2 linked regions of the Daphnia pulex genome follow. The protein of the gene in region 1 interacts with the protein of each later gene in a pairwise test. Links are inferred from orthologs where the notes say so. Each region holds a gene or a part of one and is shown in the gene's direction. Other genes may lie near its edges.

Region 1 (15,405 bases):
TACCGATTAATTTTTAAAATTATTTTCTACTTTTATCAACGTATTATTTACAGTATGTTATCAGTGGTATCGTCTGTGATTGTGGCGAAGTCTCTTACTCGCCGATTATTCCCTGGGGCAAGTGTTTGTGTTAAATCAAACGACTAATCATTTTATTAAGTGCGGTAGGCCTTTGGCTGGTGACTAGTCTCTGTCTCATTATAAGCCAAACTTCTAAAAGAACCTTTTCTGCTTCGAATAGAGATGGGGGCGGCGAACACATAGCGAACTTCCACCTTGTGGGTGAAATGAGGAAGTCTGGCAACTCAAGAAAACCGACCGACGTGCAGGAGATATCAACAAGAACCAATCAATCGACTTGACTGAAACCGAAAGGGATTTCAGTTCCAAAGATAAAAACAAAAACAAAAAACAAAAGAAAGCTTACTGTATATATATATAGCCATCCGGCAGTTTCGCAGATTTATGGCTCGGGTGCGGGTTTGTCGCAACATACCAGCCCAAAAATAACAATAAAAGGAAATTATATACACTGACCTTCAATGTATTGTTTAAATAGCATATATTGTATCGTCCTTTATTTAGATAAAGAAATGGATTAGTTTATCCTGCTTTTGAATCTAAAGAAAATGCAGTGAAACTGCGAAGTTGGAAGTTGGCCATTCGGACTTGGGTTTCACGAGTTCCACATGCAACGGATGATCCAACTGACAACATACACCGCCGCACTTCTCCTTTCTCCGCGGATATACCCGACACTGGCCGGCGTGTAGTTCACATTCAGCAACCGAAGAATGCGTTTAGTTTCTATATCAGATCTATATACAGCGCGGATGCCATTCCTCGTTTCAATCGTTGCTGTGCATCTCAGTCATTTAAAGAATTTATGAATAAGAACCGTCGGCTACATATACGTGACAGTATACAGCCAACGGTAGCCATTCCGCGGGTCTCTCATCCAACTCCTTTCTAACGAACCCCGCAGCAGACACAAACGGAAATTTCAGTTCAAAACAACACAACTACACTAACGACGAATGCACCTGATGCATATCATTTATTTTTTTTAAAAAAAGAAAAATACCCGAACACAAGTTTTTCTAATGTTTTTTTTTTTTTTTTCTGGAGCAAAGTGTATGATGGTAAGACAGACAAGAGACACACGTACTCAATAACACTCTCGGACAAAGTCAACGACTTAATTAAAAATCATAATTGAAAGTGAACTTGTGAAATTGACCAATTAATTCCAATTTAAAAAAATGGAGAAGAAAAACAGTTGTGTTTATCGTGCTATCAATTTCGTTTTGACGACATGTAACTTAAGCCATTCATAATACATAACAATTTTGACCTTAGATTCGATTCTACACAATATCTGCTTTCCATTGAATGTTGGCCTGATGTAAATCATAGGCCTATCTTTGAAAACCGTCTTGACTTTAAACCAAACGAACATTTCTTTGCCTAACAACGAATCGCATTCTTTGAGAATGGATTGTTTCTTAACAGTTATACGAGATGATGCGCTGACACTAGAAAGACCGAGCAGAACATTACAACGGCAGCTCTCACGCCGCCAGCCCAAAGTAAGGTAATAAGTAAGTCAACAGCAGTCGCTTACTACATCAAACACGAAACTTTTGTTTGAAACGTGTATAGGCGGCGCCTCTTGATTGCGCAACGAGTCGGCGCTCAAACGGCTCCCCAGCGAACAACAGCGGAGATCCGCAGCAACAGCACAAATTCACAGCGAAATCCAATGATCAGGAAAAAGTTTCTTTTTTTTTCGGGATAAAACCCCAAAAAGTTTAACAATCTGGCGGTCATCACGAATAAAAAAGAAAAGCAACATTTTTCTGTCAGCTTTTTGTATTATATGAGCGCGAACCTATTGTGAAAATACGGCAGTCCTCTTAAAAGTCTACCTAGCTTTAATGTTACGATAAGTCTGTGACAGCTTTTTAAACACCAGAAAATCTAGAGTGAGCTGGATGTGTAGTAGTACAACATTAGTAGTTGTCATTGGTGTACAAGGAACGACCAGGGTAGTATGTATAGTAGCCAAGACACACAACCGGACAGTTCAAAATAAAAAGCCAATGCCGTTTGACATTTTTTTTCTTCTCTTTTCATTCCAAGAGAGAGAGAGAAAACCAAAAGGACGGGCAAGGATCTATAGCTGAGGAGCCGCCAGTCAAACACTGTCAAGCGATGACATGATGAAAAATGGAGCGAGCCATTGGCGGGAGCAACAAATCTGTGACTATTCCCTTTTTTCTTCTTTTCTTTTCTTTTTTTTTTCTTTTTGGCTTGATCCTTTTAGCTGTCTCATTCTTTCCTTCTTTCTTAACTAAATGCATGTGCCGTGTGTGTGTGTACAGGCGTGCTTGCGTGCGTGTGTGTGTGCCCTCTGCGTCTTGGCACAGCCATCGGACGTGACTCGACTGACCAAAGCTGATTTTTTTGAAAGACTATTCCCCCCTGCTCAAAAACCCTTCGATCCTAGACGCAAGTTCAAACGCCATGCCAGCCGGAGAGACCATTGGTTATGCGGTGAAAACGACGCAGGGGCCAAAGAAAAAGAAAAAAAAGAAAAAAAGAGAGAGAGAGACGAGGGATACATATATATATATGTATAAGATGGTTATCGTTAAATATATTCCGATATGTATTATTCTTTGTGTGCTGTGATCGAATTTTCGGTCAACTTTGATCGCTATTTCTTTATTTGGTTTGGGTTGATTTGTTATAACTGTGAATGGTGATGATGTGATGTTAAATCAAAAATAAATAAATTGATCATTTGGCTTTGATATTACAACATTTAAATATGAATTGAATCACCAGAGCACTTATTTTTTTCCCTCTAAAAATATCATTAATCGGAATACACGCGGGATGACCAAAATGCGTTGGCTGATGATCTCCCCCCACGATGGGAATATAAAGAAGAAAAAAAAATCAGAGTAGCTGAGGTTGCGTATATATACGTAATAGGGCGCTGCAAAGTTGGAACTGTATATATGTACAGGCCTATATACCCTGTGTGTGTGTTTTTTTACCCAGTCTAAATGTCGGAAAGAGCGAGAGAGAGAGAGAGAGAAAAAAGTAGTAAGGAATACGATACTCTGTCACTGTATGTTCGTTTAAATGCTGGATGCGTCTATAAAGGCCGTAGAGAGAAGAAGAAGAAGAATAAGGGGACGAGATTGAGCGACTGATACAGTTCTATAAGGAATCCGGAGGGGGACGACCGACGGTTTGGGGCTTGGGGTTTTGTGGAGCTCCGCGCTTCGATCGTTATTTTCTTTTTTCTTTTTTTTCTTTTTCCAAAGAAAATAATAGTAAAAAAAAAAGGAGACCTCGAAAAGAAACATAAAAATCGAGTGGGGGCAGTTCTGTATAGCTCTATAGGCGAGAGGGATGGAACGAGACAGCTAGGAGAGAAAGGAAAAGCTAAGGGGAAGTGGGATATAGTAAACTATATGCTACACGGTTGCGAGGAGGGGGGTTTCAATAGCCCAGGCCAGCAGAGAAGGGGGGGGGGAGAAATCGGGGGTCGAAAGAGGAGATGGAAGAGGAGAGGAGAGAGCGACAAAGATGAAGAGGAACTCAGGAACATGGTGAATATATAACAGGGGGGATTGCGGAGCAACACGGGTCTCTGGATTTTTCCTTTTTTTCCCCCTCTCTTTAATTCCATCTCTCGAATTCCCTATACTTCCCTCAGCTATTATTATAGTATATATAGACGACGCGCATATATGTGGATGGATTTGCTATACGTTGCTGCCCTCGTTGAATTGATTCTCCCAGCCCGCCCAACCCCTCCCGCGAGTCCTATATGGTCTTTCATAATCCATGACTCAGAGTGTAGGGAGAAGATTGTCAAACCTAAGCCGGCATGGCTAATGCCCGATCATAAGAGCGGCGTCGGCGTCGTCAGTCGTCAGTCGTCCTCTGAGCAGAGTGGCGTACGATAATGAAAACGAATTAGCCCAGCGCAGAGTTGATTACCCCACACCAGCAGAAGTAGCTCAGTAGCTCAGTAGCAGTAGCAAATGTATTAGCCACTTGACACAGGAGGAGTGCTGATTGCTATAGCTGAACGCTCTACAACTCTAAACGCTGGAGACGCTGTGGAGACGGCCCGATCTATATAGGTGACGTAATGCCAGAGAGATCAAGTCGAGAGAGAGAAGCCAGTTTAACCCGCGTGTCGGTTTTGTATATATAAACAAAAGGGACTGGCGGAACAAAAGTCCGCCAAATCTATTCAAATGCTTCAAAAGGATTTGCGTCTCTTTCAAATCTAGAAAGCGGCGACAGCAGCTCTACTGGCCAGCAGCTCATTCCTGTTTTAATGGATCTTTTAATGTCGACCATCGCGAGAATGTTACATTCATGGCGATTTCATTATGTAATAGTCACCACCCCATATACTATATGGTTTGGCGAAATGTGACTCTCAGCTAGACATTATTTCGGCACATTCGTCACAACAGTCGGTCCATTTGGTTATTGAGAGCTGTCTCCTAATTGGTTCCTTGGCGCTCAATTAGCTACTAAAAGCCTTGGTTAACATAAATTAGAGGGGAAATTCGAGAGGGGCTATGTAGCTCGAACGAGTGACGTGTGTTGCACTGCGAAAATTCAAGCGCTCAATTGCTATTAATTTATTCCAATCACCACACTCAACAGAAAAGAGAGACCTCTATCTGAACACATTCAAATTTCCCGCTAAACAATGTTTTGCTTCCAAGAATTGTAGTTAAAGAAAAGCCATTTCGCAAGCCCAATTCGCCTCTTTTTGGGTTGTTCAAATTGTCAAGCTCAAATTACAGCTAACTGCTACTGTTTTTTTTTCATTAATTTTTTCTTTCGGTCATTTCCTTAAACGACTCAAATCTTTTAACGATGCCTCTCCTCTCCATCTGTATTTGAAAATAGCACGTAGACGCTAATGAAAAAGCTAAGAAATGAAATGTAAGATATAGATTCGTGTTACTAATAATGCTGAAGCACACAATTAGTACATCACATTCAATTATCTGTGTTAAATTCAGAAGTCTCGAAAAAAAAATTGCTCATTTAAAAACTTCAAGTCAAAGTTTCTGGTTACCGGTACGACTACGGATCCAGCATCCCGAAATTCCCAATGAATTAGCTAGCCATTGTTCCGTTTCTATCGTGATGAAAATGAGCCTATCAGAGGGAGATCGTGATGAAGAATGCCGAAAAGGGAAAAACTTTGAAATTTTCCCATCTTTTTAAACCAATAGCAGTCCGAGACCTAGAAATTCTTAGCGGAACAAAAAATCACTCGTCAAGTTTCTCGAGCAAGGATTAAATCAAAACTAAAACTTGTTTCAGTGTCTATTTTGACGGATTATATAATAATAACAAAGTGCCCCGCCTCTTTTTCGCGAATAAATAAGAAGAATTCGAGAAAAATAACAACAATTCGAGAATGAACATTATTATATTACTTTTTTTTGCGAGTTTTTATTTATTCATTAATTTTATTCCACTATAGTCTCTCTCCGAGCTGATTCGGAAGACGGGAGAGAAAAGTGGACGTGGACTAATGAGGGAACCCGAACAACCGAGAACAAAAAGAGAAGCCAGTTGGTTTTCGTCCAATCAGATATATCTCTCTCTCCTCAGTTTCATCGCCGTCTATACCCCATTGTCATGCATCATTGTATCTGATATGGGAAGCAGAAAGTGGGAGTCAGCCGACCACGGGTCATTAGTTCCAGTTTCGTCCATGAGGAGAAGCACAAGGTGATAGAATGTACACGAGTCGTTTTATTTTGTTTTGTTTTTTTCCCTTGAAAGCGGTTTGTGAAACTTTCCTCAGAGTTTTTGTTTTATCAACTCCCAACTTTGCATTTACCAAAAAAAAAAAAAAAAAAACATTACGACAAAGCTTTGAACAACATTCACGAAAAATCCTCCCGTTCATTTGGGAACATAGAAAATAATATTCAAACGAAAGAAGTGAAAACCTTTTTGTTCCGTTCGTTTCTTTCATATCGAAATTATTTGTACTTGCTTGCATAAGCATTCCCATCGTTCCAGTCTCTGTAGTAGGACTGTAGGAGGTAGGATATAGAAGGTAGAATGGGTCGACTTCTTCTGTCGCAGCTAAGAGGGATTGAGCTGTCCGTCACAAGAAAAATAAATGAGCGTTTCGTTTAATAATTTACCGACGGCTTTTGGGGGGCGAAAGAGGTCAATAAGAAAATTTCCGTCGGGTTTTTGTAACATTTGTGACTTGAGTCATGGGAGATGGTTACAATTTTAGATTATTTTTATATGGAAGTACTTGTTTAAATATTTCTTAATCACAATTGTTAGCGCACGTGTGAATAGTAGAACTGGTGTTGTAAAATAATAAAACTATTCTTCTTATTCTCTTATCTTATTTCGTTTTTTTTTAATTACATCAAAAAATAATTGTAAATAAATAAAATTGATGTAGTCGAATCTAGTTTCTCATACGTAAATAAGCTGCTGGGTTTATCATGGACGGAAAGGTTATAGAGTCCATTTACTCAACCCTCTATTTGTTGAAATTAATTTACACTCACGAACAAGACAACAATCAAGGAAGAAGGAAAGCAAAATTGGCAGAAAGTCCGAGATGCCTCAATCCGACTTGAATTAAAAAAAAACAAAACAAAAAAACTTGTAGTTAATTCCCTGAATTCAGATTTCGATTATTTGGTATGTGCGAGGAGAGGACGAATTTGGTTAGTCTTTCTGTCGAAGAATCAACACGTGAGATGGGGTTCTCTAAAAACCACTAAAATAAAAAAGAAAACAAAAGAATGAGGAGCACAGTAGAGGAGTCGAATGAATAAATATAAATAAATTTACTTATTGTATTATTATTATAACGTATAAAGGAGAGAGTAGAAAGAAAAATGGGATGTGGATAGACGGCATTGATGTTGACGATTAGTAATTAGTATTCAAGGTATGACTCTTCCCTTTTCAGCTAACCAAGGTTATCCATCCCCGATGCCATAGCAGCAACAACAGTTTGATGTTTATCTTTCTATTTATTTATTTATTTTTCCATTTTATGACCAAAATGTTTTACAAGTGGAAAAATAATATCAAATGATTATTAAAAAAAAAACTATCGGTGAAACAGAGAAGAAGAAAAGATGCATATTATAAAGGGTAGCACTGTGCTTAGCACATGCTATCGCCTTCGTACCTCAGTGAACGGAAACGAATCCGTTCCTCACCACTTGGGGGGTTCCGTTTTTCAGAACGCAGGAAAAGTTTTCATGCGTTTCCGTTCACTGGTCACTGGTGAAGATTGCAACGCCACAAAGCATCTAGCGTTAGAATTTTGAAACATTTCAAGCAAAAGATTGGACCAAAAATAAGGGCGTCTGCCAAGTTTGTTGAGTTTGACTTTTCAGTGCATTGTTGTTGATGACATCCGTTTCTGGGTAATAACACAAGCGTTGGTTGATTGCCATTAAAGTAAACAACGTCTGCTTATTACTTAATTTCAAAATCTATTCAATCAGTGACTTGGGTTATGCTACAACATGGCTACCGAGAAAGTTACACTCGCCGATGCGTTATCTAACGTTGAAGTGCTAGATGAATTGCCACTTCCAGATCAACAACCATGTATCGAAGCTCAGGCTTGTTCAGTTATTTATCAAGCAAACTTTGATACCAATTTTGAAGATCGAACTGCCTTTGTAACAGGAGTTGCGAAATACATAGAAGAGGCAACTGTTCACGCAAGCCTGGTAAGCAATAGCTACAATGAGAATGACTAAACTTTGTGTTTCAAATATTAATTTTGTAATACTTTGTTTTAGAATGATATGCTTCAAGAAGGTCAAGAGCATGCTGTAATGCTGTACACTTGGAGATGCTGTTCAAGAGCAATTCCGCAGCCTAAGTCAAATGAACAACCCAACAGAGTTGAGATATACGAAAAAACAGTTCAGGTCCTGGCTCCAGAAGTCAACAAGCTGTTAAATTTCATGTATTTTCAAGTAAGTATAATATACTCAATGAATTTAAATTGTTTGTATGTTTTTTCAGTTAACTGACAAAGGTTGAATTACTTAATTTCAGAGAAAAGCAATCGAGCGCTTCAGTGCAGAAGTGAAACGACTTTCCCATACGGAAAAGCGTAAAGATTTTGTTTCTGAAGCTTATCTTCTCACTCTGGGAAAATTCATTAATATGTTTGCTGTTCTGGATGAATTGAAAAACATGAAGTCTAGTGTAAAAAACGATTACTCTGCATACCGCAGGTAAGTCAAATATTATTCTCTCCACCATTAAAAAATAAATAAAGATACCTATTGATGTATTCTATTAGAGCTGCCCAGTTCCTTAAGGTGATGACAGATCAGCAAGCGTTACAAGAATCCCAAAATCTGTCGATGTTTCTAGCTACCCAAAACAAAATTCGCGATTCACTTAAAGAAGCTCTCGAAAAAATTCCATCGTAATGCGGCTTTATTTTTATGAAACTGATAACGACTAATTAATAACATTTTTAAAAATGCTTCATTTAGTTATGAGGAGTTGCTTGCCGATGTAATCAACTTGGCCGTTCATATGCTGGAAACTCGCATGTACCTTCTTCCGGAAGAAAAACATATGCTGGTCAAAGTTCTCGGTTTTGGATTGTTTCTCATGGATTCTGAAATATGTCAGATAAACATTTCCAAACTAGATCACAAAAAGCGAATTAGACTCGACAAAATCGACAAAATTTTTAAAGTTTGTTGGCTCTTTTGATTTTATTTCATAGACTATTATTAAACCTTTTGTTTATTTTTACAGAATCTGGAGGTTGTCCCTCTGTTTGGTGACATGCAAATTGCTCCATTTAATTATATCAAGCGGTCAAAAACCTACGATGCTTCACGATGGCCCTTGTGTGGTGCAACTCTACCTTCACCTCAGGCTGATTTAATGGTTCATTTGCCACAAATCCGTGAAGATCACGTTAAATTTACGAGCGAACTGGCACGCTATAGCAACGAAGTAAACTAATGTCATAGAGGAAATAATGCGTAATGGTCTTAAAAATAATTTTTGTAAAACAGGTCACAACTACTTATAAAGAAACGCGCTCCCCGGAGGAGATGAAAGAAATGATGGAGCTTGCTCTTCGTGGGCTACAGCTGCTGTCTGAATGGACCAGCATAGTTACTGAACTTTATTCTGTAAGACTTGTAGTTATTTTTTTTTTTTTTAATTAATTTCAACTAAGAAATTCATTTGTGTAATTAGTGGAAACTCCTGCATCCTACAGACCATCACCAGAATAAAGACTGCCCCGCAGAAGCAGAAGAATATGAACGCGTAAGGCTTGTTAACATGTTATTTAAAATTGAATTTGTTTTTAAATAAGCCCATTTACGGATAGGCTACCCGATACAATTACACCGAAGAGGAGAAATTTGCTCTCATTGAAATCATTGCCATGATAAAGGGATTACAAGTTCTCATGGCCAGAATGGAAACGGTATTTGCGGACGCTATACGTCGACATGTCTACGCTGAATTACAAGATTTTGTTCAGCTTAGTTTGCGTGAGCCCCTAAGAAAGGCAATCAAAAATAAGAAAGACTTAATTCGCAGGTAAGAGACAGAGAGTTGAAAGATCTGCAGTGTAAACTGGGACTGTTAGTAACTGAGGTTGTTTTAGCATTATCGTCTCAGTCCGAGAAACCTGTGCGGATTGGATTAGAGGCACTGAGCCACAGGACGACCCAGCTACTAAAGGGAAAAAAGATCCTGATAATGGGTTTGATATTCAAGTTCCACGACGAAATGTTGGTATGTCAAAAAATCAAACAAAAGACGCTTCTTCTTTACGGACATTCTGCCTTTATTTTACAGGACCTTCTTCGACCCAACTTTACATGGTTCGCACTATGCTAGAGTCGTTAATAGCTGACAAATCTGGTGGAAAGCGAACGCTACGTAAAGACATTGATGGATCATACCTTATGGCAATCGACCAATTTCATAAAAATTCTTTTTTCTGGAACTATTTGCTCAATTTCAACGGTATTTTATATTCAACCTTCGATTTTTACTGAACATACTTTTTCCTAACATTTGTTTTTCTTTTCTCGCAGAAACACTGCAACAATCGTGCGACCTTTCACAACTTTGGTATCGAGAATTTTATCTTGAGATGACAATGGGCAAAAGGATTCAGGTAAGAATATGAAGCTGTTTCTGATCTGGATTTCTGTCAGTGCGAAATTCGGTGGCTGGGAAAGGCTTGGCTCTTTGGTTTATGGAAAAATGGCAATGCAAGCACTTGCCAGTCTACTTTACTTTACCTGAAAGAGGTTGTAAGTAGTATGGCGTGTGCTAAATTTTATTATTCTTTTTCTCTGTCGCGTCTTTCTTTCCTTCGCTTTAAATATCGGTCATTGTCATGTCGAAAATTCAGAAATGTTGCGTGAAACATCAACACAACGAGGAGTGCAAAGACGTGGTCACACTGGAGAAAAGGATTCAGGTATAAGCTGTCACCTTGTTGAGAAACTTCCTCAGCATGATGTCGTATGCTTCTGACTTGAGTAGATATATGCTTGAATTAAACTAAGGTCCCAGCATGGCCTGCATGTACGCAAAATCGCTTGTTATTTAACAGTTAAATTTGTAGTCTTGTAGTTAAATTAAAAAAAATTTCAACATGATTTTACTACATGTTTTTTCGTCTCTTTCTTTTTAGTTTCCTATCGACATGTCGATGCCCTGGATCCTGACTGATCATATTTTGCGTACGAAGGAGCCTTCTATGATGGAGTGAGTTCAAACTCTAAATGCGATTTTTCTGTTAAATTTAAAGTTTGATGTTTGATTTGTGTTTACCAGGTGCGTACTTTTCCCCCTTGATCTCTATAACGATTCGGCTCATTATGCGCTGACCGTTTTCCGCAAACAGTTTTTGTACGACGAAGTTGAAGCTGAAGTCAATCTGTGTTTCGATCAGTTCGTCTATAAGCTGAGCGAACAAATTTTCGCCTACTACAAACACCTTGCTGGCAGGTAAGCATTGCACATTGATTGCTAAACATTGCTAACTTTTCGTTAATAACGTGCGTCCTAACATCCTTAGCATCATGCTGGACAAACGATTTCGTGCTGAGTGTGCCGCATTAGGTACGCGCTTTACCTACCCTCCTGCCAATCGTTACGAAACTCTGATGAAACAACGCCACGTTCAGTTGTTGGGACGTTCAATTGATTTAAATCGATTAATATCTCAAAGAGTTAACGCTGCACTTCTTAAGGCACTCGAGCTATCGGTTGCACGTTTTGAAGGTGGAGATATCACCGGTGTAGTAGTAAGTAATTAAAATGAGCAACTTTGTCCAATTGGATGTAACACAGTCTCAATGACAGGAATTAAGCGGTCTCCTAGACGTGAACCGATTAACTCACAAATTGTTGAGCAGTAACCTTGCGATGGATGATTTCGACGCTATGTGGAGAGAAGCCAATCATAACGTTCTGGCACCCTATGGCCGAGTGACGCTACACGTCTTCTGGGAACTCAACTACGATTTCTTACCCACTTATTGCTATAATGCCGCAACAGGGCGCTTCATCAAGTGCCGAGACCTACTTTTCAGTCAGCCTGTTCACCGAGATAAACCACCTCAAACGCCTTACCATTATCTTTGGGGCAGTAAGGCGCTCAACATCGCGAATGGAAACATCTTCAATCAATATTCCGGATTTGTGGGTGCACCACATTTTAAGGCTATTTCAAATCTTCTGGGTTACCAGGGCATCGCCGTAGTCATGGAAGAGATCCTCAAGATAATCAAATCGTTAGTACAGGGAAACATTTTACAATTCACCAAAACCCTAATGCAGGCGATGCCAAAACAGTGCAAAATGCCTCGTTACGATTACGGATCAACTGGTGTCTTAGGATATTATCAGGTAGAATTTAAATAGCTTCTCCTAACCGAGAAACAATTATTAATTATGTATTTTTTCTTATCTTTACAGGCCCAACTGAATGACATTGTTCAATACCCTGATGCGAGGACGGAATTATTTCATAATTTCCGAGAATTCGGGAACGCGCTGATATTTTGTCTTCTGATTGAACAAGCAATGTCACAGGAGGAAGTTTGCGATCTACTTCAGGCAGCGCCTTTTCAAAATATTCTTCCAAGGTATGTATTATTTTTCCTTTCCATCATTTATAGTAGCTTTAGCTCCCCCTAACGATTCCTTTCGTTTAATGGTTTTGATTGAAACGTACAGACCGTTCGTTAAAGAGGGCGAAAAATTGGAAGCCAAGCAGAAAAAACTGGAGAACAAGTATGCGGCATTGCAAATTGTCGCCAACATAGAAAAGCTGGGCACCGCCAAGCAAACCTTGATTGCACGGGAGGGAGATCTTTTAACCAGAGAACGTCTTTGCTGTGGTCTTTCTGTCTTCGAAATGGTGCTCAATCGCATCCGCACCTTTTTAGACGATCCAATTTGGACGGGTCCTGTTCCTGTCAATGGCGTCCTAACGGTCGACGAGTGTACAGAATTTCACCGACTATGGTCAGCTTTGCAGTTTGTGTATTGCATTCCTGTTGGCGAAAACGAATTTACCGTTGAACAGCTTTTCGGCGAAGGACTTCACTGGGCTGGATGCACTATGATTGCCTTGCTTGGACAACAACGAAGGTTTTGATCTTACTTTTTCAAAAATAATTTTTAAAACAGGGCTGCCTAATTGATTTTCCGTTCTGTCGTTAGATTCGAGGCACTGGATTTCTGTTATCATATTTTGCGCGTACAACGCGTCGATAACAAAGACGAAACTGTGAAGGGTATTCAACTAAAGCGATTGGTTGATCGAATTCGCCGCTTTCAAGTCTTGAATTCACAAGTCTTCGCTACGCTAAACAAATATTTAAAAACGAGCTCGGGTGATGTAGATTCTCAACCGGTGGAGCATGTGCGTTGTTTTCAGCCTCCCATACATCACTCTCTTGCAGTGAATCAGGGTCATTATTATCGACCTGACCAACTACTTCGTCAGTCCATGAATGTAGCCAACACTTCTGGGATAATTGCAAACTTGACGCTAGAACAGCACTGAGCATTTTAATTCGTCTATACATTACTTGTTTTGTCTTATCTAATTTCATTCAGGTTACGAAATATTATGAAATCATTTCCCAATCACTTTACATCCTTTAAAGAAACCTTCATTGCAACGATGTTTTCACCATAATTTCTATATGCCTTAGATCAGTTAGACGTTGCCCGTTGCGATTGTATTAGTCCCGACTTCTTGAATACACCATTCACGTAAAGATGTTAAAATGTAGGTTATTCATCATTGTCTGAACTTACTTCCGACTCTGCTTCAGAAGCAGATTCAGCGTCAGAATCAGATGCTGCATCAGAATCAGATTCGGCTTCAGGTTCGGCAGCTTCGGCAGGTCCAGGCTCAGGTTCGGCAAGTCCCGCGAAAAAATCTCCTTTGTTCCGTCTCTTAGAAGACGGTAGCTGAAATCCTAATTTCTCTTTGCGTAACGAACGTTTTTTGTTGCGGACAGATTTCTTCGTGGTCGACTCCATCAACTTTAAATTGGGATCCTCAAAGTAGGAAATATTCCAAAACCGCACGCGTCCGTCGTGGGATGTAGATGCTATGTAGTGACCACACGTTGAAATGTCTAAACGCTCAATAGGAAATTTGTGGTGACCTACTACCCCCAAGAACCTATGTGGGAATAGACTAATGGCACGGATTTTCCCATCATCACAACCAGTAATAACGATGTTGTCCATGATGGGAATCATGCAGTTGATCGCTGATGGATGATCCCCAAATGCGTCACTGTGGTATCCAAATGCTTTCCAATCAAAGATGTACATGTTCCCGTTACCAAGGCCAGCAATGACCTTTGTTTCTTGTCGAATGAGACCCACACAGTTCATTTCTGATGGGTAGACTTCAGACTAAAAATTAAAAAAAAATAAAAAAATAAAAATAAAAACACTACATATCAGCTGAAAATGTATAATTTTTATTTTTATCTACCTGCCCTTCCATTTTCTTGGCTCTTGTATTAAATGCAGTCAAAGTTCCTTCTCCGCTAGTACATACTAAGAGCCGTGATCCTGAATCAGTAATCATTGAACTGACGAATTCATCCATCTCTTTATACTCTGCAACAGGCTTCTGGATAGCGCGACGCTTATCCCACACTTTAGTTTCAAAGAGGGACACGAATTGAACACATTAATTCAATCTATTACAAACTGAAACAAATAGAATATACCTTTCACTACACCATCATCATCCCCGGATGCCCAAATGTTTGCATCCATACAAAGTAAGCTGTAGATTGGAGAACTAAAAAAAAAAAAAAAAAAAAAAAAATTAATAGACTAAATTGGGAAGTTGAATTATAAATAAATTATTACTCATGAGCTTTGCGGAAAGATTGCGTAACTGTCATAGTTTCAGTATCGGTAATTACAACACTTTTATCCTTGGAAGCAGAAAACAGAAGAGCTCCATCATGATTAAATGACAACACACGGCAAGATTTCTTGTGGTGATTAAGTGTGTGCAACAATTCATTTTCTTCATTTCCATATTTATAGCTATAAAATAAGGGGAAAAAATCATGACAGTGGTGAAGCAATAAACTTAATATTTGAAAGACCAATAAATTTGTTGTTGCTTAATATGTACCATGTAATTTCTCCTTCAATGTTAGACATTGCAATGAGTTCTTTGCTTGGATGAAAGCTTATGTCCGTCACCATACAATTCACAGAGCTTCTTAAATCAGGAGGTTTGATTTTCTCTTGCGGTTTGGCAGCATTACAGATTGCAATGATAATATCAGCATCTTCTTTCTCTTCTCTTCCAGCAGCAAGTTGCTCAATGCTCTCTTCCATTTTCTCCATCTCTTCTTCTTGTTCTTCTTCACTAACTTCTTCTTGAACTTGTTCACTTGTTTCCTCATTACTCAATTGACTTTCATCGTCTGTGAAGTTTTCATCATCGTCATCTTCATCAGAATTTACTTTATCAGGCATATTTTCTGGAAATTGGGGAATAATGACTGGTTTCCTCTGTTGAGAGAACACTTCTTTGGCTACTCAAAAAATTAATAATTACTACAATAAAATTTATGATATAACAACATGACCAAACCTTGTTGAAGAAAAAGGCTCTCTTCATCTTCATCACTAGAAGAATTTTCGCTCATATCCTCCAATTTTCTCTTTCCAGTAAGAGTTGTTTTATCGTTTAGATTTGACTGGCTCATTTTGCAGTTTATTTTTTATGGAATCGTCACAATTCTTGTACAAACTTGAAACTACACAATTTCAACAAAA
Region 2 (15,164 bases), on another chromosome or scaffold:
TCAAATCATCCTCCTCTTATGAGAAAGACCACGCTCACATGTACATATAGCATGAATTTTAATCCGGGCGACTTCTTGTTGTGTTTTCTTTGTTCTGAACTTTAATAAATCAGACACACTTTCATTTGTTTTCTTGGCAAGTAATTCAGTTCGAAATTCTGGTCAATTAAAATATTGCGATTAGAAACCAAAGGTTGAGGTACTACATAATATTGCTGACGTGTCCTGTTTGACATTCCGCCACTAAGTAGGGGATAAAATGATCAGACGGACTTGGTGACACTATGATTATTATAAATATTGGGGTAGGATTAACGTTATCTCGACTTTTATGTGCTATTGTATGTACATGTTGTTATGTGCATGGATAATATGCTTCGAAATACTGATAGACGTTAACGAGAAGGAAAGCAATAATGGAGCCAATAGCTGATCCCACCTGTGTGAATACTCCAAACCAAAACAGGTTGCGATTTCCCTTTCCTTCTTCCATACGGAAAAGAGACGCAATGCTGACTTTGACGTACGTCAGGAGGCCGACGCACAGGATCCACGAAAGAATCTATCAATTGGAATGAAAAGCTTTTTATCAAATTTTACATGGGAAATGTGTTAACTTATTAATACCATAAGCGTTTCTCCTGAAGGATATCCGACCAGAGGAGGTGTCGGACTTAGTGCGGCTAGTGCTATTATGTAAGCAGAAACAGATGTTCCCAAGAAGGAGAAGACGACTATCAGACATACATTTGTGATCGGTAGAAAGTAGGCGATAAGACATGACAAAGGATTCGCCATAGCCGACAAAGTAACTGCAAAATGATATGCCGTATTCCCATAGGGTAAACATGAGTAACTTTGTATGCTTGGGAGAGCTCCATTACTCAGAGCACATACCCAAGCTTGCAACAGCAATAAATAGATAAAGACAGATTTGGGGATGTCTGTGTTGACCTGCTGTTGCTCTTCGCTTACCGAGTCCAATTCAACTTGGTAATTTATCTTTGCAGATTTGCCGTTGAACGTTGGATCAACTACTTCTGTTGACGCAACAAAAGTCTGATTATCTATAGCTACAGGTATCCGGGTAGCTACCGACTCGTAACGCTCTTGACGAGCTACTCCACAATGATTAAGCCCGATGAAAGAAGCGGCGCAACAAACCATCAAACCCATCAGGATGAAAAAGAAAACTGAAACTGAGAAATTGGGTTCAGGATAGAAAGCTTCTATCTGCCACGATTCGGATCCATTCACAATGTTCGAGATATTGCGGCAGGATGGATTGCCACCGACACCTTGAATCAGTGCGAAGATGCTTGGTAGAAAACCGCTGAGACCTTCGCCGATCAGGTAAGACGTCAGGTACGCTTGACGAAAACGGGCCATAAAAGGCATGAAGAGAACTGAACTGGAGCAGTCGACCAGGGATAGGAAGAAGAGTAATGTAAGGAGTCCTGTGCTGTGTTCTTCTCCGTTGATGTAGCTGGTAGCATCCCAGAAGAAGCCCATCAGAAGAGAGGAAAGGACTCCGATGACCATGAGGACATAAATGCTGGGTTTTTCGTGAACAATATGAGGTACGAGAAGATGCATAACGGAATAGAAAATGGGCCCTGTAGGTCAAAATTAAATTAGAAATCGACTATAAAGGTAAAATTTAATTCATTGATACCTATGTTAGCTATCTGGATGATGATAGACATAAAAGATGGAAGACTCCATCCTTCAGGTAGAGCTTGAACGAGGAGAGGTAACTCTACCCAGAGTCCGTTGATTGAAATCCAGGCACCTACTCCAAACATGACAGAGAGCATGTCGACAAGCGGCACACGTCTCCTTCTTGATGATGAATCCATGTTTGTTCGGCTAACTTGCCAGTTCCGACAAGAGATTTTTTCCAACGACCTAAACGCTCTAGAACACGGAACCCAACTGAAAGTAGAATGTCTCAAACTTTTAGAACTATGGCACTGGTCCAAAGGTTGAAAGATTACAATTCAAGGAGGGAGAAGGTTAAAGAAACGCCCTTAGTTGTTTGCTACTTATGAAAGGGGAGATCTTAACCCAATAACGGTCAATAAGAATATTCGTTGTTGGGTACTCATTACACCGCGTTACTCTATTACATTCGGCTACTGTTATAGTGATTGAGGCCGCAAAAGTTCTTGCTCCCCCCTAACGGAATAGATACTTGTCGAGTTACCATGTTACGACTAAAAAAGGTCCAAAGGAAACGGAAAGTATCAGATAACTTATAATACGAAGAGTCGATCGAAGGGTATTAAGAAAAAAAAATAATTAAGAATACAATCCCCAGTTTAAACATCCATCAATTACTCCTTTAAAAATAGTTAAAAAAATTTAACATTTGTTCAACCAATACCAATTATTCACTTTGTGCGACACGGGAGAAAATACACGTGAAATAAGTACAAGCAGTACACGTGACAGATCTTTAATCGGCTAAAATGAATAGTTGATATGCGAACCGCGTTGCCTCACACGGCATTGAGCTACGACTTGTGATAAGAGGAGAAAGTCCTTCCTTCGACAGGACATTGCCCATGATCTTAGTTGAAAAACATTATGAATAATCGTGATCTTACATGAGCAAAATAAATAAAATTGCCAAACAAGCATGATGAAACATTGTTTAAAGTCACTTACCCAAATCCAGGCCGATTTTCTTATCATGTTTTCGGAGGGTTTATCATGATTTGATGCAATTTATGCACTCCTAATATAAAAAGAAGCTGTAGTGTTGGGGTTTGCTTTAGTGAAAGGAAATCAAACCGCCGGTGATGTAATGGGTGATTAACCCAACACTCAGCAGACGACATGCCATTTGTAAATTACGAGCGCCCCCGACGGTTTCGTCGTCAAAACAAATAAAATACGTTGATAAGTTCTTACCTTCCCTGAATTAATCATAATAAAAACATAATAAAGGCACAAACAAATGACACATACTACCTCATGATCCTGGATCACATTGCTATTTTCTCAATGAAGAAAACGGTTAGTATAGAGTGAAACAACCGAGTTTATTTCGTAAAAAACATCCTATTTTCTCAGTTTCTTAGGCCCTTTCATTTTGTTGTTAAGAACCTTTTTCTGTTGTTTTCCCATTTTCTTCTTCACGATAGCGCTGCCCTTCTTGGCGACTCCATTGACCTTGTCATCTTTTGCATCAATTCCATTTTTAGCAATTTTCGGACCTGTCTTTTTATTTAAAGAACCGTTTGCCTTGCCCTTCTTCCTCTTCATCCTCTTGCTCTTAACAGTCTCCTCGTCAGAATCGTCGCTGTTCTTTTCTTCGGCCACTTCTTCTTCAACTTCTGGGGCAGCAGATGGTATATTGTTAGATATCTTCTTCAACTTGGCTACAAAGAAACCATCCATATTGTGTGTGTGGGGATAGAATCTCTTGCATAACTTTACAGATGGGTGGAATCTGAAAAGAAACGAAAATTAATGATTACTGGCATCCAAATGTGCTTGTTTATAAAAGAAACCTTACACTAATTTCTGGAATCGAGGGAAGCCATCTCGACCGAAATCGAGACCAGTCTCGACAACCTTGACGTGACGTTTCTTCAAAGCGTAATCTACTACCCATTCGTTTTCTTGAACAAGTACAGAACACGTTGAGTAGACGATGTAACCACCTTCATCGGCACAGTCGATGGCTGCCAGGATAAGCTCCTTTTGAAGATGAGAACAACGGGCAATGTCTTTGCTGTCTTTGGATGTTTTTGCCGAAGGATCTTTGGAAATAACACCTGAACCACTGCATGGCGCATCCAGTAAGACGCGATTATATCCCCTGCTCATCTGAACAAAATATTTGAAATTAGTAAATGAAACATGAATATTGCTATTCTTAGTAGTCAACCTTGGGTAAAATTTTTCCGTCGTAGGTCATCACAACAGCGTTGGTTACTCCAAGACGATGTAAATTACCAACAACAGCCTTTGCTCGATCAGGATTCGCATCGTTAGCGAATAGCATACCAGTATTCTTCATCAGCGCAGCAATGTGAGATGTTTTACCACCAGGAGCTGCACTCATATCGAGAACCTTGTCGCCTTCTTGAGGTGCCAGTGCCATGACAGGCAAAAAACTAGAAGCTCCCTAATATTTTAAGAAATAAATATAAGCTTATAGTATAACAATTTACTAAGCATTTTATTTACCTGTAAAATGTAGTGACCAGCCAAATACTCGGGGGTTGCACCGACAGGTACTTGCGAGTTATAGATTACAAGACCAACTTTCGACCACTTTCCAATAGGATCAAGATTCACTCCTCTGTTGATGAGTGCCTGAGCCAAGTCTCGCCTTCTCGTCTTTAAGGTATTTGTACGAATTGTCATGGGCCTAGGAGTTTCGTTTGCTTCGAGGAATTCGATCAATTCGCCAAGCGGAAAAGTTTCCATAAATGCCTCCATAAGAAAATCATTGTAGCTGTAGTAGGTGCAGAGATCTTTACGTAGTTGTTCAAGGTATTCAACTCTGTCACGACCCTCTTCGCGTTTGATGGTGAAGTCGCTCAAGACCCCTATAACTTCTTTAATTCTTGATTTCAGCACTGTCAAATCTGGAGGAAGCAGCACTTCTTTTTCAATTTCTTCTCCACTTGGAAGTGTGTACTTTTCTGACTGCTGAATGTTCATTTGTAGTTCTGCTTCAGCTTCCTCGTCTACTTTTTCTTTCTTCATTTTGAGTTGTTTTGACTTTTTCTCAATAGGTAATTCTTCCTCATCGTCATCATCAGAACTGCCTTCAGAGCTTCCCTTGAAGTTGTCAGCCAGAGGCTCGTCATCACTACCTTCTCCCATGCTATTTGAATCTCCATCATCAAAAAGGTTCTTTTTTTCTCCCTCTTCATCCGACAAGTCTTCACTGTCAAGAGACTCATTTGACGTAAGTTTATTTTTCTTGACTGGCTGCTTTTTACGAGTAGCTGTTCCAGCTTTGACAGCACTGCGTTTTGCCGCACGCTTCTGTGATCTTCTGCCCAAAGTTTCTTTCGGTTCTTTCACTAAATACCAAGAAACAATTATTTTAATCAGCAAGTTCTCAAAAAGCAGAACATGATCGTTTCACATACCTTCTTTTAGATGGTCTGGTAGCGTTGGGGGTTTCTGTTTTTTGGCTTTCCTACCCGGACCACTGGGAGTTTTCTCGACAAAATTACCTTTGCGTCCCATTTTAATTAAATTAGGATGTCAAGTATACAACAAAAACTACACTCAAAAGATTAAACAAATCACTTCAGACGGCACGGTCAACACGTGTTGTGTTACAATGGAAGTTGGAAGTTGCCAAGTTGGGAAATTATCGTATGCCTTTGATTTGCATATTTCTCCCACTCTCAACATGAATGCAGCAGCGCCAAACCAGTTTCAAGATATATTATATTGAAAATCAAATATTAATTTTGCAAATAACAAATGAAAATTTAGATTTTTATTATTTAAAGAAATTAATTATATTTTTATACCATTTTTGTATTTTGAATAATATTTTAAATGAATGGCAAAATCGTATGCTTCAAAGCTGTCAGATGCCTTGGTTGGTCGTCTGTTAAAAAACTTGTTTATCCTGCTCATTTCGCTGTTTTTTAAAACAGCAGTTTATTATCGCGATGGCTCGCCCGCTGATTCCCGGTCAGCAAAAGCTTGCTGAAAAATTGTTAATCTTAAATGACAGAGGTCTGGGAATGCTAACACGGATATATAACATCAAAAAGGTAATTGCCGATGAAGATGAATGGGGTGTTGCCCCTCCCCTTGCTACGTTCTGCACGTAAGTCATTTGCAAATATCTGTAACGAAATCTTATCAATTGCAGGCATGTGGGGATGCAAATTCAAAACCAGCATTTTTGTCAGACAAAACTTTAGAATCTTCCATCAAGCTTGTCATCAAGAAATTCCCAAACATTGATGTCAAAGGAGTATGTTCAAACGTGTATCTATGTTTACAAACAAGAAAATGTACTTATCTTTTTCACCATCTTAGCTTCAAGCTCTGCAGCCACATCGAAGTGAAGTGATGAAATCACTTTCTCTATACTACAATACATTTGTAGATCTTTTGGATTTCAAAGACAAAGTTGGAGAACTACTTACAACCATGGATGCATGCCAAGTTCACTTGGATATTGTAAGCTACCTAAAAATATAAAACTAATTTCAAGTATACTTAACCTCCTTCTTGTTAATTTATATCTCCTAGACTTTGAATTTTGATCTTACAAAAGCTTATTTGGACCTTGTCTCCACCTACACCTCTCTGATGATTCTCCTGTCACGTGTTGAAGATAGAAAAGCAGTTCTGGGACTGTACAATGCTGCACATGAACTAACACACAACCACAGGTGCATAACTTTAAAATGCATCCCACATTGAAAGGTCTCATTAACTTTAAAATTATTATAGTGATGTGAGTTTCCCAAGACTGGGCCAGATGATTATGGATTATGATCCCCCACTGAAGAAACTTAGTGAAGAATTCATACCCCATTCTAAGTTGTTGGTGTCAGCTCTTCTTTCTTTGCAAAATGTTTATCTTCGAAGAAATTTAACTGCAGATAAATGGAGGTATAAACCATCTCATCAATATTTAAATGTAGCATTGCCTCATTTTTTAAATTTATTACTTAGGTCTGCTCAAATGCTCAGTTTAACTTCGAACCAAAACCAAATGTTGAACCCGGCACAAACAGATACCATGCCTTGTGAATATCTTTCGCTGGATTCATTTGAACGATGGATTATTTGTAATTGCACATTTAAAATATCAAGTTAAACACATTTAACTTAATTCTTCTTCTACTTTAACAAGATGGATTCACTCTTTGTCACCAGTTCCTAGCTCAACCAGTAGCTGTCAGTTTATGGATCAATGCTCTGCAATCTGGTTGGGTGTTGCCTCTCTTTCGCGACGAAGTGATTTGTTTTCACTCTTACATTCAGACGTTTTTCGACGGCATCAAGGGCTACGGAAAACGAGTTACGGAAGTAAAGGAATGCTTCAATTTAGCCGTATTAAATTCGTAAGAATAACAGAGATATTTAAATTCGTTGTTTGTTTCTAAAGCTAAGGATTTTTTATACAGAGGAAAAGTCCACATGGATCGACGCATGTTTCTACGCACAGCTCTTCGGGAGTTGGAGCTTATCCTTACGGATCAGCCTGGTCTACTTGGCCCTAAAGTAAGTCCAAGGATATTATGAGTTACATCAGTTGAACAAGATTGTCACACTAATGAATTCTTTAGGCTTTGTTCGTGTTTATGGGACTTAGCTTTGCCCGAGACGAAGTAAATTGGTTACTTCGACATCATGACAATCCTCCACCAAGGAGTAACAAGGGTAAAACTGCTGAAGATTTGGTCGATCGTCATTTGCCCGAATTACTTTTTTACATGGAAGAGATTCGGGCTCTAGTTCGCAAATACAGGTGAGGCGATCTAATACATTTGTCCCTGTTTAGATTTTACTTTAATAGTTACAACTATATTATTTCAGTCAAGTGTTGCAACGTTATTACGTCCAGTATTTGTCGGGTTACGACGGCGTTTCTTTGAACCAACTCCTGCAACCTTTACAGACATTATCCGAAGAAGAAAGCATAATTTTGTCATCGCTCTGCAACTCCATTGGTGGACTAAGCATCAAGCAAGGTAGAATTCTAGAGTATTCACGTTAAAGATTGAGGTGTTAATGTATCTTATTTTTACAGTGGAGGAAAATGAATTGTTCGATTTCCGTGGACTTCGCCTCGATTGGTGTCGCCTGCAAGCATATACCTCAGTTGCTAAATCACAACTAGTCTTAAGCGACCATCGTGACCTGGCAACCCTACTTAACACAATTGCATTCCATACAAAGATGGTTGATGCGCTTGACGACATGCTGACAGATACCTCGGACCTTTCAATTTTTTGGTAAGCTAGTAAGCAATTAGATTCAATAACAAAATTTATAATGACATGCGATTTTCTGCGTATTCCCACCTTCAGTTTCTATAACAAACTGTTTGAAGATCACTTCCACATGTGTCTGGAATTCCCAGCGCAGAACCGGTACATTATTGTATTCCCCTTAATTTGCGGGCACTTTCAAAATTGTACTCACGAACTTTGTCCGGAAGAGGTAAGCGTTTTTCTCATGTTTTTTTAAAAAGCGAGGATCTCGTGGGTAAAACTTTCATTTTGCAGAGACATCATATTCGCGAGCGAAGTCTATCGGTAGTCAACGTCTATCTTGAGGAAATGGCTAAAGAAGCGAAGAACATAATCACTACCATTTGCGACGAACAGTGCAATCTAAGCGATAGGGTAAGAATAGTACTTTTGTCTATGTTTGATTGATATTAAGTTTTCTTCTTTGAAATAGCTGTTGCCGAAACACTGTGCTCCTCTGATCGCGCAAGTAGTCAACAAGAAGAAACGCGAAAAGTTTAGGAAACCGGAGGTGGACAAACCCGGAATGGAGAGTTATCGAAAAACAAGAGAGGACCTAACCACGTAAATATTTTAGAGTTGCAAAAGAAAAAGTATCTTGCTATTGTGCTAAACTGTATACTCCTACAGGATGGATAAACTACACATGGCCTTGACGGAACTGTGCTACGCCATTAATTACTGCCCAACAATTACTGTATGGGATTATGCGTTTGCTCCTAGGGAATACCTCTATCAACATCTCGAGTCTCGATTTGCTCGCGCGGTCGTAGGGATGGTTATGTACAATCCTGAAACGGGCGATATCGCTAAACCCACAGAACTCTTGGCTAGCGTGAAAGCGTACATGAATGTCCTCCAAACTGTGGAAAACTATGGTAAGGCTCGTCATTTTACCTGAAGATAAATATCGGTTGAGTAAAACGGTTATTTTTCCTAGTTCACATCGACGTTACCCGGGTTTTCAACAGTGTTTTGCTTCAACAGACTCAATCCGTGGACAGCAATGGAGAGAAAACCATCGCTGCTCTTTACGTTACCTGGTCAGTTTACTGTTATGATAATCTATATCATAGAACAACAATAATCACCTTTTACGATAGGTATTCGGAGGTATTGCTTCGTCGAGTGAGTGCAGGTCACATTTGCTTCTCGCCTCTTCAGCAGGCTTTTGTAAGTCTTACAGCTGAGGGCGCAGTGCCCTTCAACGCTGAAGAGTTTTCTGATGTAAACGAATTACGGGCTCTCGCTGAACTGATTGGTCCCTATGGAATGAAATTGTTGAATGAAACGCTGATGTGGCACACAGCCAGCCAAGTGCAAGAGCTTAAAGTGAGAATAACTTTCTGTTTTTGTTGTGAATTACAATTTCATCTAATAAACTTTATTACTTTTTTCAAAAACAGAAACTTGTGTTGATGAACAAGGACGTTCTCGTGGCTCTTCGAACAAATTTTGATAGACCAGAACACATGAAAGAATGGGCAAAACGCCTCCAACGTAAGTCAACTGAGCATTAATTTGGTGACTGGGTAATTGTTGATTTTTCATTTTTTTAATTCATCAGAGGTGGACAACTTACTCCAGAGGATGACAATTGTCGGTGTGATTCTTTGCTTCCGCCAGCTTGGTCAAGAAGCGCTGAATGACGTGTTGAATCAACGTGTTCCTTTCTTATTGTCGTCTATTATAGACTTTAAGGAACATTTCTCCGCAGACGAGTCGGATGCGACGGTAAAATTTCTTTTCAATGAAAGGCTTCGTGTTGTACATCATGCTTATTTCGTCGTACCAGGTGGTGAATGAAATGGCTTCCGCAGCTGGATTAAGTTGCGTCGTCGATCCAGTTTTGGTAACTGCCCTAAAAGTACAACGAACAGGTAACTTTAGTAACTGTTTAGTATCCAATTACGTCATTACGATTATATTCTATTTTTCATTTTAAACTAGAAACGAATGAAGACGAACATTTAGTAGCATGCTTATTGCTTGTATTTATTGCTGTGGCCTTGCCACGCCTAGCCAGATCAGAATCTTCAATGTACCGGTACGTTTGATTTTGTATTAAATTAGTAAGACTTCCTGTACTTAACCGGTGTTTCTCTTTTAGAGCTTACTTAGAAGGTCACGCAAACAACGCACATTGTCTAGCTGCCGCTGTCAACACTGTCCTGTGCGCTCTATTCGCCTTGTCGGGTAGAAGGGACACTGAGGAAAGATTGAAAGAGTTTCTAGCTGTAAGTTAATAACATTAATGTGCTTAAAAATATTTTAATGACATTTAATGTTTGCTACAGTTGGCTTCGTCAAGTCTGTTACGCTTGGGACAAGAAGTGGATAAAGAGGCTATCAAAAATCGAGAATCAATCTATCTCTTGTTAGATTTGGTAAGTAGTTATGTAATGTGTAATCGATTGGGCAGTTTAATCCTTTCCTTCTTGGTTTTTTAGATCGTTCAAGATTCTCCTTATTTGACCATGGATCTCTTGGAATCATGTTTCCCATATGCACTTCTGCGCAAGGCTAATCAGGCAGTCTTCCGCTCAGATAACGTCACTTCCTAAATTTCCCTTTTCTCTTACGGTAATCGATCATCTGACAAAACAGGAATTAGATGAGTAGAACTCGCATTTTATCTTCAAATATTTACATGAGCCACCTTACTGAATTCAGTATTCTTTCTTTACTTCGTTATCATCTCATTGTCAGAATGTACTGTATGCCTTGACGACCAATAAATTCCTAGAGCTGTATAACTTTTTACTTTGGATATTACGAAGTACAAAGGCGATACAGGAAAATGTCACTCTCACTTTCTCTTTGTCCTACAAGAAAACTGCAGGACTTCTCTGGTCAACACCCTTAGAAAATTGAATGAAAATGCGTTTGTCTAATTAGTCAATGTTTTTGTTTCATCTATAGTTATGTTGAGTACTTTCGCAAATTAGTGATGGGTCACATCATAAATACTGTGCCGACTTCTCTTCTAGTCGTCATAAAATCCATTAGTATCATTTATGTTATCAAAAAATGGAATAGCGCGCAACTCAGAGCTAGAATTTTTTTAGCCAGTACACCGAAATCTCATTGTCAGGTACTGTTATGCACTAAGTCAAGTGAAATAATGGCAGGAACACTAAAAGATCGGTTTCTCCTCTCGGCTTTGGCACCGTTAAGTATTCTGTTTAAAGTTACGGGTGTTTTCGTGAATCAAAACTCTGAGGCCCAATGGAGACAACGCCTTTACCGTTTTTGGACTTTTGTAGTACTAGTTTTGGCCATTCAGAGCAACTTCTACATATTCGTCAAGCGCACATTAATAATAGATTTTTTTTTCGGCAGCCAGGAAATAAACGTCGATAGATTTATTCAAGTACTCGTTAGTGAACTAATTCGACTTAGCTCACTAGTTTCCGATATAATTGTTCACCTTAGTTTGGTATTTAAAATCTGGCCATCGGTAACATTGTTTTTAGAGACCCTGGAGACTGTCGATCTAGATTTCGGACGGCCAAATTTGTCGCCAATAAAACGCTATTCCATGTTTGGTCTAATCTATGTTCTTTTTACGGTTAGATCCTTCTTTTCAACATTTTCAAAAAAATCAGTCACTAATTATATTTTTCAAAGGTTGTTTTAAACTGTACATTTTCCATCTATTGGGATTCAACCCATCCGAATAAACCCGCTTATTGGTTGGAAATGTTTCAGAATTTAATCAGACTTTTCTCCAACCAGGGGTTTTGTAATTATAATCACGTAGTTTCCATCAATTTACTTTGTAAAGAATCAAATGATATTGTACTACAGTTTCACCGTGTTACCTGTTTGGATATTCATCATTTGCGGTCAACTATGTATATTCTACACCAGGGAGTTGATTACCAACTTAAATTTGTTTTGTGCTATGGTAAGGAATGCTGGAGTTATCCCAAGTCGAATTGTAGCTCAGCGGACCTTTTCGAACCTGCGCTCTCTGAAACAACTTTATTTGGCCTCTGACCTACTTCATCGTCACTTTAGTACAATATTGGTGGTAAACTGCTTCCTGACGGTGGTCACAATGTTTACTTCTTTTTACTATTTAATCGAGCTTTTTGAACGTGGTTACGTGGTTGGGGCTTGCTGGGAGGTCAGTGACGTTCTTGACTCTTTTGTTCGTTTCTGGCTCATCTGTCATACGAGTGATCGGATTCGGGAAACTGTAATTATCATCTAATATCTAATATTTCACTAGGGTTTAATCGGTTTATTTTGAAATAGAGCACAGAATGTATTACTGTCCTTCGCAGCTTACGGGACACTAGAAACGCGACGACCCTCAGCGAGTGTAATAAGGTACCGGAAATAACGAATTCGAGATTAAGTCGTTAATAACTTTGAATTTTAATGATGGTTTAACAGATTACTTCTTATATCATCGAAATATCTCAGATGAGCAAAAATTTAGAAAGACAGAACCTTAAAGGAATTTTGTCTTCGTCCAAACGTCTTATTATCCCAGTAATAAATTGGCATTACGTATTTTTTCCAAATACTTATTATTAAAACAAAATTATTTCTTTAGACCTTGGAGACTATTTTCATGTATCTTCTTATCATCTACCAGTTTCAAAGTGCTGTCAACTGCCAACTCTCTGATCTGTACCAGTGTGTAACTTAAAATGGGCGGGACGAAAGGATCCCACGGGATCACAAACAATTGTTCGTTTGTCGTTGCATTTGACTGTAACACTATTATTTCTCATCAATACAAATTTATACGTTTGATTCGTTCACTTGTAACTAACGTTCCGGTATACTAAACTGTGATAATAAAATGGTCTTACCTTATTCGCTGCACTCGCAAAAGTGTCGATAAAAACTAACGCCGTAAGTAGGGCCTATGTGAAAGAGAAAATGAAGATTAGAAATTGCTTAGCAATGTTAAGCAACACAATGAGAATATAGTGATCAAGAAACTGAGATAAAGAACTTTAACACCAACAACAGTAATTCATTTGGGGCCTTGTGCCATAACTCATAATTTAATCACGGGCTATTTGGGAACAACATTGCTAGAGAACAGACTTGCCCCATCGCTGCTACACAGGCATGTTTAAAACTTCGATAAAAATAATAAATGCAATCATGAGTATGAATTTAATCATGCCACAATTTTTCGAAATTTAATACCATATGTTTAATACAAATTAATATATTTCTTTCTTGAATGATTGAGCGCAAATAATAAATTATTATAACGGAAAATTAGAACGTTCTATTTCCTACTCTCTGGAATCCTAGTGATAAGATTAGAACACAAAACTCCTGTGTGGCAGTTAGAATCTATAACCACTAAGCTATTGCTGTGATTAACTAAACTAAATTTTAAGCATTGCATAACACTTTCAGTTAAGCAATCAGACCGGATGTGTAGCCATGGCATACTGGTTATGGCACCACCAGATCGATTGCCATCGTAAGAAGTGGGACATTCTTGTACGCCGTTGTACTCGAAAGTTAACTATTAGTTGATAAATAGTTAAAGTTGACTAATTTAGCTGTAACAGACCAGTACTATGAGAGAAAGCGATCCCTGAATGGACAACATTTTTGTTTCCCAAAAAGGAAATATTTTGATTACGAGGACAAGAAAAGCAGAGGGGCAGGATTAATCCACATGATCGCCATGGCTAAGCTGTAGCTGATACAAATTTTGGCATGCGGTGCTGACGGATGGTTTAATCGGCCTAACCTGGCTCTTGAATAGAGTTCCACGAAATTTGAACCCTGGGGTTAGTTCAGATAGCAGGGCAATTGTAATGTAACATTTGAAGAAGTGTCCATGACCTGCTGTCGATGAAAACTAAACCTGTTGTGCTTCATTCGAGACATTTCTAGATAGGTGGTATGAGGAATGATAGGTTGCTTGCCACGGTCTACGCCTCAGACAAAAAGGGAAACATTGGCATAGCCACTAGGGGAAGATCCTGTTGGTACTCGTTCACCTAACTTACTTTAATTTCGCTTTCTTTAGAAAAATTTTCCTTTTCTTAGAAAAAAAAAAACAACTTGATAATGGTTATGAGGCAGAAGAAAAAATACTCATATAACACGAAAGAGATCCCCTTGATTAACAAATAACTAGAACTAAATCTGAACCAAAGTTACGTATTACTTAAAAGTCTTAAAAATTCCTAGCACGATATCTAGTGCGATCACCACATGACACAACAGTAAAGAGATTGAAAATGTGATGATGAATTTAAAAACTTACTTGGCTGTAGGAGAAACTTTCCATCCAGCAGAAGTATGAGATAACTTGGCGTTGATCGTGTGTCCGGCGACAGTGTGGCCATCGAGCTTGACTTTGAGTGTGTTATCTCAACGGTTGTTCCAACTTTCAGCATTTCAGTTAAGGGAGTTTGTGATGGAATGTTCATTTCATCAAGCACATGTTCTCCATCACTAGAATTTTCTGGATTTTTCAGAGATATCGTCACACTACTTGCATGCTATTGAAAGGCACTAGACTTGTTGGATTTGAGTTAAACGATGGTTTAATGTCTAACACTGGCCTGATGCACACACAACATTCTCTTAAGCACACACCCTTTAAGTAAGGAGTCATTAAAAATCCAATGCAGGCGAAACGATCGACGTGATCTGGAATGTGTTATTAGGCTACTTGTCTCGTTTGTATCAACCACGTGTAAGGGGAGGGGACACCTTTCGATATAACACATAGTTTTCTAATGGACAGTGGAGAAACAAAAGTATACTTGGCGTGAGAACAGACTTTTTGGGAAATGCTCACTATTATAAACAATTAAATTGCTGAAACGTTTTTGCAGCAATAATAATCTTAATTGGAATTTCCAGCGACGCTTCGAATCGAACCTACGAACTCAAGAGTGAACACAAATGAATGGCTGAATGCAGCCGAACTTAGAAAACTGATGTTGCCAATTTATGAAGTTTGACGCCGCCTTTTTGAATTTTTAATAGATATGTTTTTAAAATAAACAATTGTTGGTGAATTCATCCTATAATTCCTATTTCTTATTTATACTTCCATTAAAATTCTGCATATGGAAAAGCAAGAGCAAGATGATTCTAGCAGGTCGCATGACTCGCATCCCAAGGAGAATCAAACCGGACCTTTCGTTTTGATTTTTCATTGTAAATTGTAGCGATATTTTT

Evidence for each region.
Region 2: the proteins of cytoplasmic FMR1-interacting protein-like (region 1) and membrane-associated protein Hem-like interact in binary tests that used the Caenorhabditis elegans proteins (3 or more experiments, as listed by UniProt). The link is inferred for Daphnia pulex from reciprocal best matches to the Caenorhabditis elegans genes gex-2 and gex-3.

The regions. Positions count from the first base shown.
Region 1 is NC_060025.1:3,982,691-3,998,095, forward strand, and holds cytoplasmic FMR1-interacting protein-like, read left to right. Parts: upstream 1-7,363; 5' UTR 7,364-7,475; exon of another isoform or gene 7,476-7,556; 5' UTR 7,557-7,577; coding exon 7,578-7,787; intron 7,788-7,859; coding exon 7,860-8,039; intron 8,040-8,121; coding exon 8,122-8,303; intron 8,304-8,371; coding exon 8,372-8,500; intron 8,501-8,570; coding exon 8,571-8,778; intron 8,779-8,841; coding exon 8,842-9,045; intron 9,046-9,107; coding exon 9,108-9,227; intron 9,228-9,294; coding exon 9,295-9,366; intron 9,367-9,430; coding exon 9,431-9,645; intron 9,646-9,712; coding exon 9,713-9,843; intron 9,844-9,906; coding exon 9,907-10,077; intron 10,078-10,148; coding exon 10,149-10,231; intron 10,232-10,471; coding exon 10,472-10,540; intron 10,541-10,756; coding exon 10,757-10,830; intron 10,831-10,899; coding exon 10,900-11,073; intron 11,074-11,143; coding exon 11,144-11,372; intron 11,373-11,430; coding exon 11,431-11,976; intron 11,977-12,045; coding exon 12,046-12,215; intron 12,216-12,306; and 5 more. Other genes in the region: WD repeat-containing protein 55 homolog, read right to left, coding at 13,375-14,010, 14,093-14,259, 14,334-14,407, 14,479-14,661, 14,753-15,161, 15,221-15,335. UniProt on the Caenorhabditis elegans protein: Required for initial steps of body morphogenesis. May play a role in egg laying and yolk protein clatherin-mediated endocytosis by oocytes during oogenesis.
Region 2 is NC_060019.1:12,578,014-12,593,177, forward strand, and holds membrane-associated protein Hem-like, read left to right. Parts: upstream 1-5,560; 5' UTR 5,561-5,654; coding exon 5,655-5,759; intron 5,760-5,860; coding exon 5,861-5,965; intron 5,966-6,030; coding exon 6,031-6,174; intron 6,175-6,246; coding exon 6,247-6,389; intron 6,390-6,450; coding exon 6,451-6,612; intron 6,613-6,675; coding exon 6,676-6,791; intron 6,792-6,856; coding exon 6,857-7,067; intron 7,068-7,130; coding exon 7,131-7,227; intron 7,228-7,292; coding exon 7,293-7,474; intron 7,475-7,542; coding exon 7,543-7,697; intron 7,698-7,756; coding exon 7,757-7,961; intron 7,962-8,036; coding exon 8,037-8,169; intron 8,170-8,234; coding exon 8,235-8,354; intron 8,355-8,412; coding exon 8,413-8,543; intron 8,544-8,609; coding exon 8,610-8,857; intron 8,858-8,919; coding exon 8,920-9,022; intron 9,023-9,082; coding exon 9,083-9,311; intron 9,312-9,345; exon of another isoform or gene 9,346-9,385; coding exon 9,386-9,479; exon of another isoform or gene 9,480-9,546; coding exon 9,547-9,713; and 12 more. Other genes in the region: 25S rRNA (cytosine-C(5))-methyltransferase nop2-like, read right to left, coding at 356-562, 628-1,616, 2,671-2,689, 3,112-3,457, 3,524-3,837, 3,899-4,138, 4,201-5,048, 5,118-5,217. UniProt on the Caenorhabditis elegans protein: Rac effector required for tissue morphogenesis, cell migrations and egg laying. May play a role in egg laying and in yolk protein clatherin-mediated endocytosis by oocytes during oogenesis.